Linked DNA regions of Lepisosteus oculatus. Each later gene encodes a partner of the first gene's protein in a complex. Links are inferred from orthologs where the notes say so. Each region holds a gene or a part of one and is shown in the gene's direction. Other genes may lie near its edges.

Region 1 (7,850 bases):
GACCTTATGGAAATTTTTTTGTATATTTTGCAGAGGTGAACATTTGTATGTATATACAATGAGTTTTTCATATGCATCAGAATATTCAGTATTAATCAGTTTCATGTATACAGTGCAAATTACAGGGATGGGAAATACACATTCCTTTTAATTTACTGTGATTAACGGACACCACAGCAGTCCTCAATTCACTTTTCTCAGCGCAAGTGAGTCCCTAAGACCCAGTTCAATTAGTACAGCTCAACCGAGAATGAGAATAGTGGATGACTTTCTGTGACTGAACTTTTCAGTTGCTTTTAAAAAGTGAAGCACTGATTGTTTTGTGGAACCCCAAACATCCTTGAGTGTTACCTTAGCATGAGAGAAAAGAGTAGAGAAACGTTAAGTGTGCTCAGGAGACATGATACATGCGTCTGCTGCAATTGGCTTCATTAAGCTTTCTCCATTTTCCTTGAAGTAATAAAACCCCTTTTTCTCTGCTGATCAGTATAACCCATTGGATTATTTACAATCCCAAATCCCCTAGTGCCTCTTCAGCTCCAGTCTTTTACAAGCAGAGGAATTAGTACCATCCCATAATTTGAAAGAAACAGTGTAGGTTATCTACATTTAACATGTAATTAATTTGTAATTTCTGAGCTAGATTTGTTTTCATCGATGGGATGAGAATTAGTTATATTTCAGTTAACAATACCATAGACTTTTAAACAGTTAGATTTGTAATGTGCTATTAAATAGAATTAAATATCCTTTCACAAATTTCTAACTTGCAGGACAGAGAATTGTAGCTCTAAATGAAAGGCTTTAATTTAAAATGCCGTTCAGGAGTCATCTATTGTATAACTAACGAACCTGGATCCCAGCAGAAACGGAGACTTACTTTCCAGTTTCTTTAATTGTAGCTAATTGTATGATCACAGTTAAGGCAGTGAAATGTCTTTTTGAATCCAAAGGACAGACCTGGAGTGAAAACGTATTTCAGCAAGCGATATGATATATGATACCTTGGGCTTTTTCTGCCAAGACATTCTATTCAGCATTACCTTTGAATGGCTTCTGGGTAAAAAGCTGTTTGTGAAGAAAATGCAGACCTTTCAATTGTGGTTTGTTGCTTATATTTGGGACACTGGTTAGGCACTTTCCTGATCTCATAGAAATATATATTTCATAAAAAAAAACGCATTGTGTAACTACTTTGGTTTGGCAAAACCAACCAAAAAAAGGCTTGGTCTTGGTTTGTCTTCTCTTGTTCTGAAAATACACTGTAGGCATTTAACTTTCATCAAGATGCACATTCTTTAGGTCTGTCAAAGCATCTTTGCTGTCCAGAAGTTTGGGGTTTCAGAAATACAATTTCAAATACATGCTATTAAACATTTAAAAGCACTCTCTGCTTGAAAGCAGCTACGAAAGACATAATGTCAGTATTCTGATGGATTTGTACATGCACAGAGAAAAGTATTGTTTCTCTGACCAGAAGAGGAGTTCATTATGACTAATTACTTAAGTCCATGTCTTACTCACTGCAAAAGCTGTATATTTGCATAATTTTTCCATGTGTGCTTTGTGGTTTTCTTGTCTGGCAAAGCGATTTTCTTTTATTCCTGGCTTACTCACTGCTATATATTTCCAGAACTTGCATCATTCTTAACACAAACTTGGCATGTCTTCTGGAAATCCTATTTCTTCAAGTAAAATGAAAAATGTTTTGTATTGTAGAGGCTAAAGCTCTGCCCTTTTGTTTTATTGAGTTGAAATAATCTTTGTTATTCAAAGGTTTTCGTCTTTGTCTTCCTAGAATATGTTCACTTCCAAAGTGCTTCATGAGAATATAGAGGCGACCTACATTACAGTGGAAACGGTGTCGTTCTTTGGAGTCAAACAGATGCCATCAAATGTTACTGTGAATTCAAAAGAAACTCCATTCACCTACAAAACCAACCAGGTGCAAAATATTATCTTGAACTATTCTTACTCTTGCAAATCAATGAGTCTTTTTGCTTACAGTATGCCTGTTTTTATCAATGCAGGTTCATCTTTAGTGCACTTTTTTCCTCAGAGTGTTTTTTTTCTGGAATAACTTCATTATTACAGTGTAGCTGGACACATTTCTAGGTACAAAATTCTTTTATAGATACTCCTGAAATAATTATCTTCCCTTTTGTGTTATAAGAACTGTACAGAGAAATAACGGCTTTTTATTGATGATCTGAACATGAAAGTGTATTTGATTGTTATTCTTCCTATCTGTTTTACAGGTTTTAACCGTGAGTAACCTGGTTCTCAATCTGGGCCAAGAGTTTACAATCAGCTGGATCTAAACCATTAAGACCCACGAGGGATGTCTGCTCTCGTCTGTTCATGACACTGGATCTTTTGCTGCTACTTTTTGTGATTTTTTTCTGATTATGGCTTTTTATTTTAAAAAGGCTGACAAGTGTAAGGATTGTTTACTTAGCAAATGTATCTTATCATACAGAAAATGAAACCGTAAGCACTAGTATTTAGCAGTGGGAATATTTTAATAGAAATTCTATCCTTAGAGTCTCAGGGGATAGCACATGGTATCATAGGGCAGCAGGTCTGTTTATGTGGTAAAAATAGATACATTGATTAAAATGATTTCAAGTGTTACGTTTTCCATTCAATAGCACCATTTAGGTTCCTATTTTGACATTCACTTTCTTTTCGGAGAATTTTTAATTGCACTAAAACACCCGTCTGATGGTTTAACAATTCATTTTCAATTGAATGTAAAAATGGTCAGTATTTTCAGGACCTTGAGTGTTGCTTGAGTAAGCCTTTTCTTTAATTCGGAGAGGATTGCTGTTAGAGTTTGAAAACAAAAATGGTACCAGAGATCACAGGAGCTATATTTTCTGTACATTAGACCTTAGATTATGGTAACTGCATAGTGCCTTGAAGTCATCCAAGTGTTAAAGCTAATCTAAATCAGATTATATATCTAGGTATTGTTGATTTCTAGATGCAAACTAAGAAATTGCATTTAATAGCGCCATTTCAGTCTCAATTTTTGCAATATATTTTAATTGTGCAAGATTTAAAGTGTTCCCAAAATGAGTCTAATATGATTTATTAATAAAATGTTGTTTATTTAAAGACGATGTATGAAGAGCACAACTGCTTGATTATGTGGTTTCAATAACTTCCAGATTTCTTTGAATCAATCCGGCAAGACAATGCTAAGAAAAAGCCATTTTATTTTTATATGTAAAAGTCTAAAATAAATGTATTGCAAATAAATTGTCATTCTTAATTCGTTTTAATGGGCCAATGAGCATAGATATGAAATACAACTAAAAAGCTTTATGCAGTGTGGGGAACTTTTAGTGTCAAAGCAAATAATTACCAATGTAACCCTTTTCCCTGTTGTCAAATAACTCTTCTTTTGTGCTCCTGTACAATCTTGGATGAAAGTTGTTTTGAGAGATGTAGATGGATAAATAATATTACACTGCAGCAAATGTTTGGTTAATGCAGCATGTCCTGATAGTCATTTAATAATTCTGTGGTGGAATTTGTTTCTTCTTTTTTGAGTTTTATAAAATGTCTGGGGCTGCATGGTGGCGCAGCGCCGGGGCCCCGGGTTCAGTTCCAGACCTGGGGTTCTGTCTGCGTGGAGTTTGCATGTTCTCCACGTGCTGGTGTGGGTGCTCCAGGCTCCTCTCGTGGTCAAGTATGAGACTGCCTTGCACCCGTAGCCTGCCAGGATAGGCTGTGGCTCCCCTGCAACCCTGGATTAGGAAAGCAGTTGGATGGACGGGTTAAAATATCTCCATCTAGCATGATGAGCACCATCCTGTGAAAAGATAACTGATCTGAATTTACAGCATCAGTGAAATGAAGGTTCGTTGAAGAACTTTGCTCAGCTAAGTGTTAGGAGTACCTTTATTAGGGATGAGCCTTATATTAACCCTTCATGCTGCACAGTGGCCTGCAAATATCTTTATCTGCTGTAAAAATCACAGTTCTTCCCCTTGATTCTTTTCTTGAATCAATGCAGATGAATGAGAACTTTTGTATTTATATTTAAATAAAGGTTTGCTTTGTTAAACATTGATTTGAGCGGTTTAAGTAATGCTAAAGCTTATGTACATTTATTGGATCTTTACAAAATAAAATCCATAGTTTGCCAACCGTTTTGTATTTGTTTCTTTTGCTAAAAGGAGAAAAAAGTTAAAAACCCAAACGTTCTAGTGGCAGAATACGTATGGATTCAGCTTAGGCACTTGCCACTACTGAAACGGAAACAAAACTTACTGATAAGAATGTTAAAATCCGAGTCTATTAATTCTTAAAAAAATATTTCATAAAATGTTAGGCCTGAAGGACTTATTACAATGCAGTTCCAAAAAATGCATTGTCAAAAAAAGATTAAGCTGAATTTTGTTTTAATTTAATTACTATACGGTTATCTTTTTCGGTTTTATAAAAACCTAATAATTTAATACCTGACTATTTCTAATCATAAAAGAGAAACTCCACCTCTGAACGTGGCCTGTGTTAATGATTTTGGACAGGGAACAGATGCAAACACGTTTTAAACTGCCCGCTCTGCTTTATTTTCGTTCCGGGTGACCCCGCAGTCGTTGCAGTTCAGTTCCGCTCCTCTCCGGGGGGAGGTTTCCGTTTCCGGTTCCCTTGGGTTCGGCCGTGCTGAACGGCTGCTGCACCGTCTTCTCAAGGTTTCAGTTCCGGAGGTAAACAATGGCCATGGGAATCAGATAAATCTCAAATATAAAGGTGATTCTCCCTGCCCCTTCCGTAGTCGCTTCTCTATTTGTGATGAGTAGAAGATAGCGCATTGGTTTAAAGTGTTGTGCATTGGTCTGATAACCTGTCGTGCGACGGGAATGAGTGATGCGTACCCGGTCGTGTGCCCCTTAGGAGGTATTTCATGTGTAAATGTTAACTTTGCTCAGAGTTAACCATTAAGTGACGCATTTGTTACTAACCTACTGCATTATGTGTACGAGATCATCTATTTGCAGCGTATGTGCGTACAGTATGTATAATTTTCAGAGTAGAAAAAAAAACGTTTAATATCGTGTGGGTCTGTGAAACTCTTAATCTGGGGCAGACATATCCATCGCCTTTTTGCACAATGATATGAGTTTACTGTAATAAAATGACTAAATCAAAATATTTGTTTTTAAAGTGGACTATGCTACTTAAGTATTTGTGAAACATGTTATTAGCTTTAGTTGGTCTGTTTTTATGGTTTTGCCTGCTTAAGAATGACGTTTTGGGCTTGTTTTCATGACCATTTATTTCTCCCCTTATCGGGCCAGAATTTCTACATCTGATGTGAGACATTGACATTTCCAGCAGAATGAATCGACCAAAGCCTGCTACAATCAGGCGGCCCAGCAGTGCAGCCAAACCTTCAGGTAAATCATAATCCTTCACATGCTTGAAATGTGATAGCAGGTATTAGTTAATGAAACTATTCAAAAAGTTCAAAATCCCCCAGTCTTCAGTTCACTGAGATGTTTCTGATGTTTTGAAGAATAATTTTCTTTCTGTACAAATCTCTACACAGGAACAAGTAATAGGTTTATTCCATGCTGAAAAGAGAAGAAAGAGAACACAACGTTTTGGCTGTGGAGCCTTCTTCAGGTGTGAAACGTTGTGTTTTTTTCTCTTTTCAGCAGGGAATAAACCTATTACTTGTTCCTTTGCGGCCTACGCATGTTGACGCAGCTCCCCACCTCATCTCTACGTGACGTCTTTGAACTTGTGCGCGTTGGCGATTGAGTTTTGTTAGTGCTGTCATTCAAATTGAATTGCATAGGTCCTGTGAAGTCTGTATTGCTCTCCTAGGTCACCCTCCACCCGGAGATTTTATTGCTTTGGGCTCAAAGAGTCAGGCGAGTGAACCCAAGGCGCCGGCCGTGTTACTGAAGCCGGCTTCCACCAGCTTGCCTTCCGATCGCAAGAGGGAGGCCGCGTCCACTCTGCCCTCTGCCTCAGGCCTTTCGGGTCTCACCAAGCGCCCCAAGCTTTCTTCCACCCCTCCCCTCAGTGCTCTGGGGCGCCTGGCGGACGTGGCCTCTGTGGACAAGAGGGCTATATCACCTTCCATCAAGGAGCCTTCCGTTGTGCCTATTGAAGGTGAGAAATGATATCAGTCAATGTCAATCTAAGAACAATAACACTCAAGGAAATAAATCAGTAGCTTTGATTTAGTTTACATCTAGAAACACGGATGCATTATCGTATCGGAAAAGTAACGTGCTTCTTTTTGTGTTACCACTGTATGTTTCTTTTGTCAGCATTTTCCACTGAAATCTGAATTTTCTGCACAGTCGTTTTAAGAAGGGTTTCGTCTTCCCTGCTAACTCTCGTCTGGTGCCCCTGCAGTCCCACCTGCTGTGCTGCTTGATGAGATCGAGGCCGCAGAGGCCGAGGGGAACGATGATCGCATTGAGGGCATCCTCTGCGGTGCAGTGAAACAGCTGAAAATCAACCGCGCAAAACCCGACATCACTCTTTACCTCAGCCTCATGTTCCTCGCCAAGATCAAGCCCAATGTCTTTGCCACCGAAGGAGTCATCGAGGTTGGCGGCATTCCAGTGATTTTTTTGGGGGGGATGTGGGAAAAGAAATGTAATTTATTATTGCAGCTCCCGCGTTGCCTGCCTTCAGCTTTCCTCCCTGTCACCAGCAACTTGTCTTGTCTTTTGACAGGCTCTGTGCAGCTTGCTGCGCCGTGATGCCTCCATCAATTTCAAGGCCAAGGGGAACAGCCTTGTCTCGGTGCTGGCCTGTAATCTGCTAATGGCTGCCTATGAGGAGGATGAAAACTGGCCTGAAATATTTGTGAAAGTGAGGGCCAGCTGCTGTTTTCTTCACTTTGCGTGATATGAGTATTTATTGTCACATTTGAGGGGAAAAAAAGAAAAATGTTGTCCATTGTACATGTCAGATCATTTTTGAAGTCAAGTTTTTTTTTTTTAAGATCTCATGATTTTTTTTACACTGTACATTTTTTCCTTCTTTAGGTGTATATTGAAGATTCTTTGGGAGAACGGATCTGGGTAGACAGTCCACATTGTAAAACCTTTGTTGACAACATCCAAACTGCTTTCACCACGAAGATGCCCCCGAAGAGCATGCTGCTGCAGACTGATGCTGGGCGCTCAGGAGGGGATCTCAGTGCAGGTACAGGCATTTACAGTGTCTTTGAACTGTGGATCTGTGGCAAGGTTTGAAGAGAACAGATTGAAGAAAAATCAGAACTAATTAAAAATCATCCTTGTAAATATCTACAATATCATATCAGACATCATAAAGCAGACATGTGGTAAGGTACACAAATCAATAAATGAGTTCTTAAAATATCCTTACTGGGATATCCTTACAGTTACTGGGAGCCATGCATGTTCTGTCCATCTAAAGCTGACATCTGCGGCACAAAGTGTTTGTTTTGGGTAACTGGCCAGACGGGGTATGGAAAAAATATATGAGCAGATGAACTACAAAGTTCAGGAGCCTTAAAGAATAAATTAACCTTCACTCCAGCTGTGTGCCTGCGCAACACACTAACGCCGACAACATGGAAAGGACTGCTTGCATCTCAAAGACTGGAAACTGGTGCTCTGAAACAGAAATGGCGGTTCTGGTTTTTCCTTCTGTAGGCAGCAGCCCTCACCCGTCCACCCCAGATGAGGACGACAGTCAGACAGAGCTGCTGATCGCTGAAGAGAAACTGAGTCCGGAAGATGAGGGACAGGTTATGCCCAGGTACCTCTTACACTAGCAGTGGTTTCTCAATATTGATCCTGACTCCAGGGCTTAGCTTCCTGTTTCGCGTGGGCTGTCCCTTG
Region 2 (7,707 bases), on another chromosome or scaffold:
TAGTGGGTTGGATTTCTGCTCTGATTATGCATTAGCCAAGGAAATGAATGAGACTAACATGCTGGGTGTTGTGTTGTTGTGCTAAAGAATTTAAGCATTGCACCTTTTCATTCATTCTGCATGAGACACAGAGCTTTGATTCTCATTACTATTCACTAAGGTGATGAGGAACTGAACTTTTCATGGTCAATGCTGGCTGCAATTCTGAATTAGAGTTATCAGTGCTGAGACTCTAGCGTAAATTCTGCCCAGATATAAGAAATATCTGCTGTCAAAAATATTCCCCAAAGATCACAAAGGTACTTTTGCTACCAGACTGAGGTCCTTCCAACTTGTTACCAACCCATTAGAACTTCAGGTGAGAAGCTCCACCTTTGCAACGTCTTTTTCTGTTGTGTCAATTTTTTCATATCTTAACCAGGTTCCAGACGTAACACTGGAGCAAGACATGTTTTTTTTGGGGGGTAGAAAAGTCATTGCTCAGTTCTGTGAGCCTCACCCTTTTCCTGCCTTGCAAAAGCTACCGATTTCAGGCTGCACTGGTGCCCTTTGAAGGTGCCCAGGAGGTCTTCTGTCTTCACATCCCACAGCTTTGCTGTCTGGTCCCCAGATGCTGTAACCTGTGGGGTAACAAGGGAATCCATTACTGGAGAACAGCAGGTGTATGAATCCTGAGTCACTGGACAGACATGTCCATCTCTAGAGGGTGATAAACCAGTAAAGGAGATATGATACTCCTTACAGAGAAAACATTTGCAGAAACTCCCATTACATTGTAGAGTTTTCTAAAACTCCAGACTGGAAAAAGGATCAATATTTATTAATAGCAAAATCCTGTACAGAGTTTTGAGATTACACTTGAATTCCAAGTAATTTAGTTTTCCTATAGGATAACAGACAGAGACAACAGAGGATCTACAACCACAAGACAGAATGTCTGAGCTCTGCTTGAACTGGTTAAAATATACCTAAATATCTAAAAAGATACTAGGTGTTTGCTTTAGTTAATTTAGAATTTTTGAGACACGGTTTCTTCACATGTAAGAAATCAATGGCACTCACAAGTCGCGGCTCTCCAGGAACCCAGGCAATATCAAAGACGGCATTCGTGTGAGCCAGCCAATCTAAAGAGAGGGGGGACAAAGAGCTAAGGTTCAAGTACATACTTTTCAGAAGACACCCACGTGTTCATTCCTGTGAAGGAATTGGTAAAAGTTTTTTACTTCCTTTACAAAATGAAATTATCATTCATCACTGCACAGATACAGATGTCTTTACTAAACACCTCCTGGTCTGGTGTTTTTCTTTTGTGTGGAAAAGTGACGAGTGCTCACATCTTAGGGGACACTATTCACATCAGGATCTTTTCAGGAAGTGAAGTGTGGCAATAAGGTATTGCAAGGTATTGGAACAGGGAGGACAATGGCTCCAACAGTCGTAGTTCATTCCACTTTAGGTCTGTTAGACGGAAACTTTATAAGCAAAGGCTTGTGCTGTATGACGATGTTATGACTGGGGGGAGGGGGGGGGAATCAAGCAAAGAAGCAGAGTTGATTCAGATAAATGGAGACCCTTTCAATCACTCTTTACCTTTCAAAAGTGGACGCCTGCGTGACTCTGTGTCGTACAGCCTGACGACACCTTCTTCGTTTGCCACAGCCAGGATCTGCTGCAGGCCTGGAGCTAGTGAACAGAGACCCACGTTACAGCGACAATTATCCTGAGAAAAGTTTTCTGTGTATAACACCAGAGGAACTAACTACGAGTAACAGAATCCATTTTCACGTCTTAAATCTGACACTAAGCAATTTTGTAAAAATTACTGCTAACTCACAATTTTCAGAAAAGAAATCTCACAAGCAGATGAACTCCAGTCAACACCAAATTAATTTTACAGAACAGTGTGCTGTTTGTCAACAGCCATTAACTTGCCGTGTCTTTCTAGACATAAAAGTCCTTTAATAAGACATGTAAACTGTTCAGCTGTATAAAAGATGATGTTCGTCTTAACTCATCCTTATTTAGTTGTAATTTGCTCTTTAAACGCCTCTGATAAAGACTAAACAAAGCTAAACACCTATACCTGACATCTATATAACAAGCTTTAACATAGTTGTGTTAAAAAGTAATTTCGGAATTTACAATACATAAAAAGTACATTTCACAATAAGGTCAAATCACAAAGCCAAAAAACGAAGGAGATAAAGAATATAAAACAGTGACAATGTTTTTCAGAAAAATAAGGTTTTAGACTAGAATTAAAAGCACTAAAATGTTGCTGCATTACTCATAGATGGTATTCCAGAGCATAGCGACAGAATGTGGTATCACCCCGAAAGTGTAGATGAACCACAGAAACACCAAAAAAGATCCAAGTCAAAAAGAGTGGAAAGGAGGAAAAGGGTATAGATACTGACTAGATACCAGAGGGTCGCACCATGTAGACTAATGAAGGTAAGAAGGATTTGGAAATTAACAGGAACAGGAATCCAAACACTCCAAAACAGGAGTGACGTGACAAGATCATTTGTAAGTGACCTAGTCGGGATTTAGCTTCCGAATTTTGAACCTACTGTAATTTAAGAGTAGCCTAGAGATTCCTGCACAAAGAAATGCAGAAACATCCTCCCCAACCCCCTCTAAAGAGCGGACACCTTAGGAGGTAACCTAGAACATTTCTAAGAAGGAAAAACAAGCACTGTGCATAAAGCAGTTATTTTTTATTTAAATTATTTTTCCTAATAATTATCCATTTGTTTTTCTCTTGAGTTTTGTTGGGTGCAAGGTCACATTAAAGACGCAAATATGTCTGACATAATTTTTCTTTGATTTCTGGCTTTACATCACAAAAACCTGTAATTTCAGTAAGGGTGTGTAGACTTTTTATATCTGCTACATGGGTTTCAAAATGAAGCAGGATCGAAGATAATCCCCAAATCCATTCTTCCAATTTAGAACTCAAACGAGGTGCCCTCAACAGGTAAAGCTACAGAGTGGGATTTAAAGAAAAAACCCAGTCACGTTACTGGATTTAATATCAAACCAAATAAGGAAATGAGCAAAAAGTGAGGATTTAAGATGAGGGCGATTTATTTCAATCCACATCATATTTAGCTTGTAACAGGCTAAAACACAAATAGACTTTTTGGCGATCCTCTACCTGTAGAAAACGTGCATCCGAAGGGAGGAACTGGAACCCCCATATCGCCATACGAGATGTGCTCATCTTGTCTAGCACACTGGTAACAATCTAACAGGGAGGAAAGCGGATACACACGCTCCGGCCCTGTAAGGGAAAACAGTGTTGAGAGTTCATTCATTCTTGTTAAATTAAGCCCGCGCGACCGCTCCCGTCCACATCTATTCATTTAAAAAACTCCGTCAGAGTGTAAGTTTCTACGATCTACTTCGTACGCGATTTTGCTTAAATCCTTTAAAATATAGTTTAACGTTAAATAGAACAGTTAAGAGTTTCATAAATAAATTCAATGAATCCTAAAAGTTTCATTGGTCTAAACGCCGTTTTACAGTGTGGCCTCTGTTTTAGAAATACTGATCGCATTGATAAAAGCTTCCGTGTCCACATCGCGATCACCAATATCATCAATATAATGGATTTTGGTATTGCTTTCTCGAAACCGATGAGTTAAGAAGCTGATTTTAGATGGTTTCACACAGAGAAAAACCGAAAATGAATCGTATTGAAGCGTGTTTCCCACCCAACCCCCTCATCTTTACATTTTAACACCCCACCGTAGAGGAAGAAAGAGCACCATTTTGAGCAGCAAAAGCGAATCCTTTTACTTTAGGAAAAATAAAATGAATGAAAAGCACTTTAAATATATTCATCCGCGTTGATCACCTCATAATTAGAAGATAATGGCATAAATAGACACAAAAGCTAATTTCAGAACGCCCCCCAAAAGAAACAAGTTAAACAAGAAATGGTCGATCTTTTTACTTTCTCTCTTTAAATAAGTCTTGATTCAAATACTATGCAAGGTATTTAAGAGGCAAAATGTGAAGATCTAACGCATTCCTCCCCCAGTTTTGAAGATTAATTGACTAGAGAGCCAGTACTCTATATTAAATCATCACCTAGCAGCTAATTTAACTTACCATTGTGCCTCCTTCTGAGAACTCCTCTATCAACAATGGAACGAAATAGCATCTTGCAATTTGTTATTGTGTTTAAAACTCAATTGCAAATTAAATGGATTTAAATTTCACAATGCAGCACCACTAGCTGTGTATCTCTTCCTAATGAAATACACAAGTACCCTTTCCCGCGAACTCAGAAATGAAAAAAGAATACGAAACACCCGCCTAAATGACGTTTCGCTACATGATTGGTCAAGAAAGCACAGAGTGGTCAGACTCCACCCACTCTGCGTAACAAAGCGAGTACCAGTCAGAGATACCTGGATCCAGATTAACTACTCAATAAAGTACAGATCCCAACCCTCTCCCATAACCTACAGAAAATATTACCTCCTCAAACAGGTACCAAAACTTCCCGGTCATCTAGCATTTTGAATATCCACTGATGTCACGTTATTGCGCCTTTCTTGCGGCCTAGTGGCGGCAGCACGTTTACGTCATGGGCGGGTAGTCGAGTGTTTATGTCACTTCCTGCCGCTTTGCACTGCTGGGATGTAGCAGTTTCTTTTGTGCCATGTATGCAGTATGATTGTGTTTTAATTGAAAAGTCCTTTTTAAAATCAGATTCTCAAACGTATATTGTAATAGAGAAAATTGTTGACTATATTTGACTTTCAGTCTAGGAATCATGTCTTTAACAACGGCGCGATCATTCTTGTCAGAAGCTGGTTACGGGGAGCAAGAATTAGATGCCAATTCTGCTCTGATGGAGCTGGACAAAGGTAGTTACACACACCTGAGTAAAACGCGTGCAATGCTTTGAGCTTCGAGCTGTTAAAAATGTAAGAGGTCGTTCATGGGTGCTGCTGTTCTGTAATAAAAATACTTTGTTTTGGTGGATTCATGTAAACACCAGCCTAGGCCGTTTTGGTTCTTCCGTTCCACTGTGACTCTGCTGCTCACAGTATAGATTAGGCAGTTAAACTAATTGTTGGATCAATGATTAATCATTTTACTGAGAGAGACGAATTTGTTCAGTCCTTATTATTCAGTGATTGCTGCGCTATATGGTGTAATCTAAATCGTAACATATACAGTATATTATGTATATACAGATAGTAGACAGAATATGCACAACCCAGTGGAATGAATGCACGAATGTGCCATGCAATTCTGCAGAAGGGATGCAGCACCATTCTTCCACGAGAAAGCCAATCAACTCTCACCTGGTTAATGGAAGTGGAAAACACTATCTCACCCCACGGTTCAGAATATCCCATAAATGCTTGGTAGAGTTTGGATCAGGTAACAGAGAAGGCCATGTGATGTGGAAAACAGCAGTGTCACCTTCATCAAAACACTGGGTGACCACGTGCGCTAAGGGCATTGACATCCTGGAAGACTCCCCTCCAGGCAGGGAAGAAATTCTGCAACACAGGGTGAAGGTGATCACTCAGTGCCATTAAGTAGTGGTTACATTAACCTTACCTTCTAAGGGAAGGAGTTCACCTAAACTGTGGCAGGAAAATGTACCCCTTAACATTACTGTACCCAGGGCTGTAGAGTTCTATAGGATGGTGCCAAAAATGGTGAAGAACGATTTATCTAAACAAATGACCTTTTTCTAGTACTTGATAGTCCATTTGCTGTGCTCTTTGCACCACTAGTCTTACAGGCGTGTGTTACAAGAGGTAATGAGTGATTTGCGCTGTGCAACCCGTCTAAATGATCCTGCTGTGTGGATTTCTCAGCATTTCTCTTGATTAAACTGGCTGCTTGTGCCCCAGGATGAAATTTGTAGTTCTGATTAATGCTTGGATATTACCATCCTGGAGTATACTGACCCATTGTTAGGACTGACCGAAGATGTCTTTTCTATTGGGTTCCATGCTGAAATCAGCTTAGACACTATGACTCTTGATCACTTAAGTTTCTGCTAAACACCCCTTCAAAGTCACTGATGTCTCCCCTTGAAGTTATAATAAAGGCCAACCAGGCCTGTCCAGCATTTCTATACATGACTCTAAGAACGCTGGGTTGTTAATTGCTTAATTAATGTAATGAATGAGTTCTGTTTTTCCTCCATTAGCTGTGTATTTCTGTATATGTCATTGAATCATATATACATACACTAAATCCTTTTTAGATCCTGCACCAATCCTTGTAAAGACTGCAAGATTGTTGTATCACCTGAATTCTTTCATCTTAAGTTATTTACTGTATGAAATCCTAAGTTGGAGTCTTCAGATGTGCAGCAGCACAGTTTTTTTACTAACCAGTATTGTAAAAATCGTTCCCCCCCTGAAGGGCTGCGGTCCGGCAAGCTTGGAGAACAGTGTGAAGCTGTGGTGCTCTTTCCCAAGCTGTTCCAGAAATACCCGTTCCCTATCCTGATCAACTCCGCCTTTCTGAAACTGGCAGACATCTTCAGACTGGGGTATGTGTTGAAATGAGCTCCCCTCCAAGCACAGCACTTCGTCTTTTACTGCTCTGCTTAACTGAGTTGCTTCTTAGGGTTTCTTGCTAAATTGAAAAAAAATCAAACAATTTTTGCATTTAGTGTGATTTTTCAGGCTGTTTTAGTTTTTGCATGCCTCAATGGAGAAGGTTTTATACAGTATGGCAGCATGAACTCACCATGTTCTGAAGCCATGCAAAACGTAACTGGTGATCAGTCACAGATAATTTGTTAAATTAAGTAGTATGAAGATTATTGGGAGCAAAACTCTTCAGTCCTGAAGGACAAGTGTTCCTTTAATTGGAAAAATTACTGGCCTAATTGAACAAAAAGTACAGGTGGTCCCAGACTTTAGAAATTAGTGATTTCGGAATACTCAGTGACTTCTGCATGGTAGTACAATGCTACTCTACGAAAGCTGAATTTGACATTACAAACAAAATCTAACAGCATCATTTCTGAATGTCACCTTCGTTCCCTTGAATTCCTAAGAGAAGGGGTCGTCTCTTTTGTTTCCTGTAAAATTTTGAAAGTGCAGTCAACAACAGGGCTCATCTGGCAGTCACAGTTTATTATTATATTACTTACATTCCAATGAGTCATTACATGTTTTTCAAAAATAAAAAGTAACTTGTGTTTTTTTAGCTGAATGAGAAATGTTATCATATTCCTTTCTGACTTGTTTTAAAATTCTGTAATGTTAAAACCCAATTGAATGTGATACTAGGGTGTATGTCACAAACATCTACTTTTTAACCATCTTAAAATAAGATGGACCCTTAGTTTTTGTGTTTTTATGAACAGTAGGCATTATCTCCCAATTGTTCTGTCTTTCTGTCACAGAAACAATTTTCTACGGCTCTGTGTGCTGAAGGTGACTCAACAGAGTGAGAAGCACCTGGAAAAAATCTTAAATGTTGATGAGTTTGTCAAGAGGATTTTCTCCGTCATTCACAGCAATGATCCAGTGGCCAGAGCCATCACTCTCAGGTACCGAGAATTGTAAACGATAATTAAGTAAGAATTATATAATTAAAGGGATCATCAAACATGGCCTTTTTCCAAAGAAAGATACCAGAGCAAGCCTGTGGATCAGTTACATGACACTCAGAGATCCCTCACTAAGGCATTTGTAACAAGAAATTGCT

What was found.
Region 2: the proteins of ints1 (region 1) and ints7 are in contact, whole or in part, in a cryo-EM structure (PDB 8RC4), measured with the Homo sapiens proteins. The link is inferred for Lepisosteus oculatus from reciprocal best matches to the Homo sapiens genes INTS1 and INTS7. Residues at the interface, in NP_001073922.2 of Homo sapiens: Leu1378, Gln1381, Gln1382, Gly1385, Gln1386, Ala1389, His1429, Phe1430, Leu1431, Cys1433, Pro1434, Arg1437, Gln1438, Cys1440, Gln1441, Pro1476, Ala1479, Gln1480, Met1483, Leu1484, Gln1487, Arg1552, Pro1554, His1555, Leu1556, Glu1557, Glu1558, Pro1613, Ser1614, Gly1616; in NP_056249.1 of Homo sapiens: His150, Asp151, Leu187, Ala188, Thr189, Pro190, Val191, Lys194, Thr223, Ser224, Tyr225, Pro226, Ser227, Thr228, Asn262, Asp263, Pro264, Arg265, Lys266, Pro303, Tyr304, Gln349, Glu350, Cys352, Tyr353, His354, Asn355, Arg357, Ala360, Gln384.

The regions. Positions count from the first base shown.
Region 1 is NC_090714.1:1,264,178-1,272,027, reverse strand, and holds the start of ints1 (integrator complex subunit 1), read left to right. Parts: upstream 1-4,645; 5' UTR 4,646-4,764; intron 4,765-4,812; exon of another isoform or gene 4,813-4,911; intron 4,912-5,312; 5' UTR 5,313-5,353; coding exon 5,354-5,411; intron 5,412-5,844; coding exon 5,845-6,135; intron 6,136-6,384; coding exon 6,385-6,581; intron 6,582-6,711; coding exon 6,712-6,849; intron 6,850-7,025; coding exon 7,026-7,185; intron 7,186-7,661; coding exon 7,662-7,771; intron 7,772-7,850. Other genes in the region: gaa2 (lysosomal alpha-glucosidase), read left to right, coding at 1,799-1,945, 2,259-2,321. UniProt on the Homo sapiens protein: Component of the integrator complex, a multiprotein complex that terminates RNA polymerase II (Pol II) transcription in the promoter-proximal region of genes.
Region 2 is NC_090697.1:46,094,139-46,101,845, forward strand, and holds the start of ints7 (integrator complex subunit 7), read left to right. Parts: upstream 1-4,640; 5' UTR 4,641-4,789; coding exon 4,790-4,883; intron 4,884-6,408; coding exon 6,409-6,538; intron 6,539-7,402; coding exon 7,403-7,549; intron 7,550-7,707. Other genes in the region: dtl (denticleless protein homolog), read right to left, coding at 500-620, 1,063-1,124, 1,591-1,683, 3,161-3,286, 4,120-4,171. UniProt on the Homo sapiens protein: Component of the integrator complex, a multiprotein complex that terminates RNA polymerase II (Pol II) transcription in the promoter-proximal region of genes.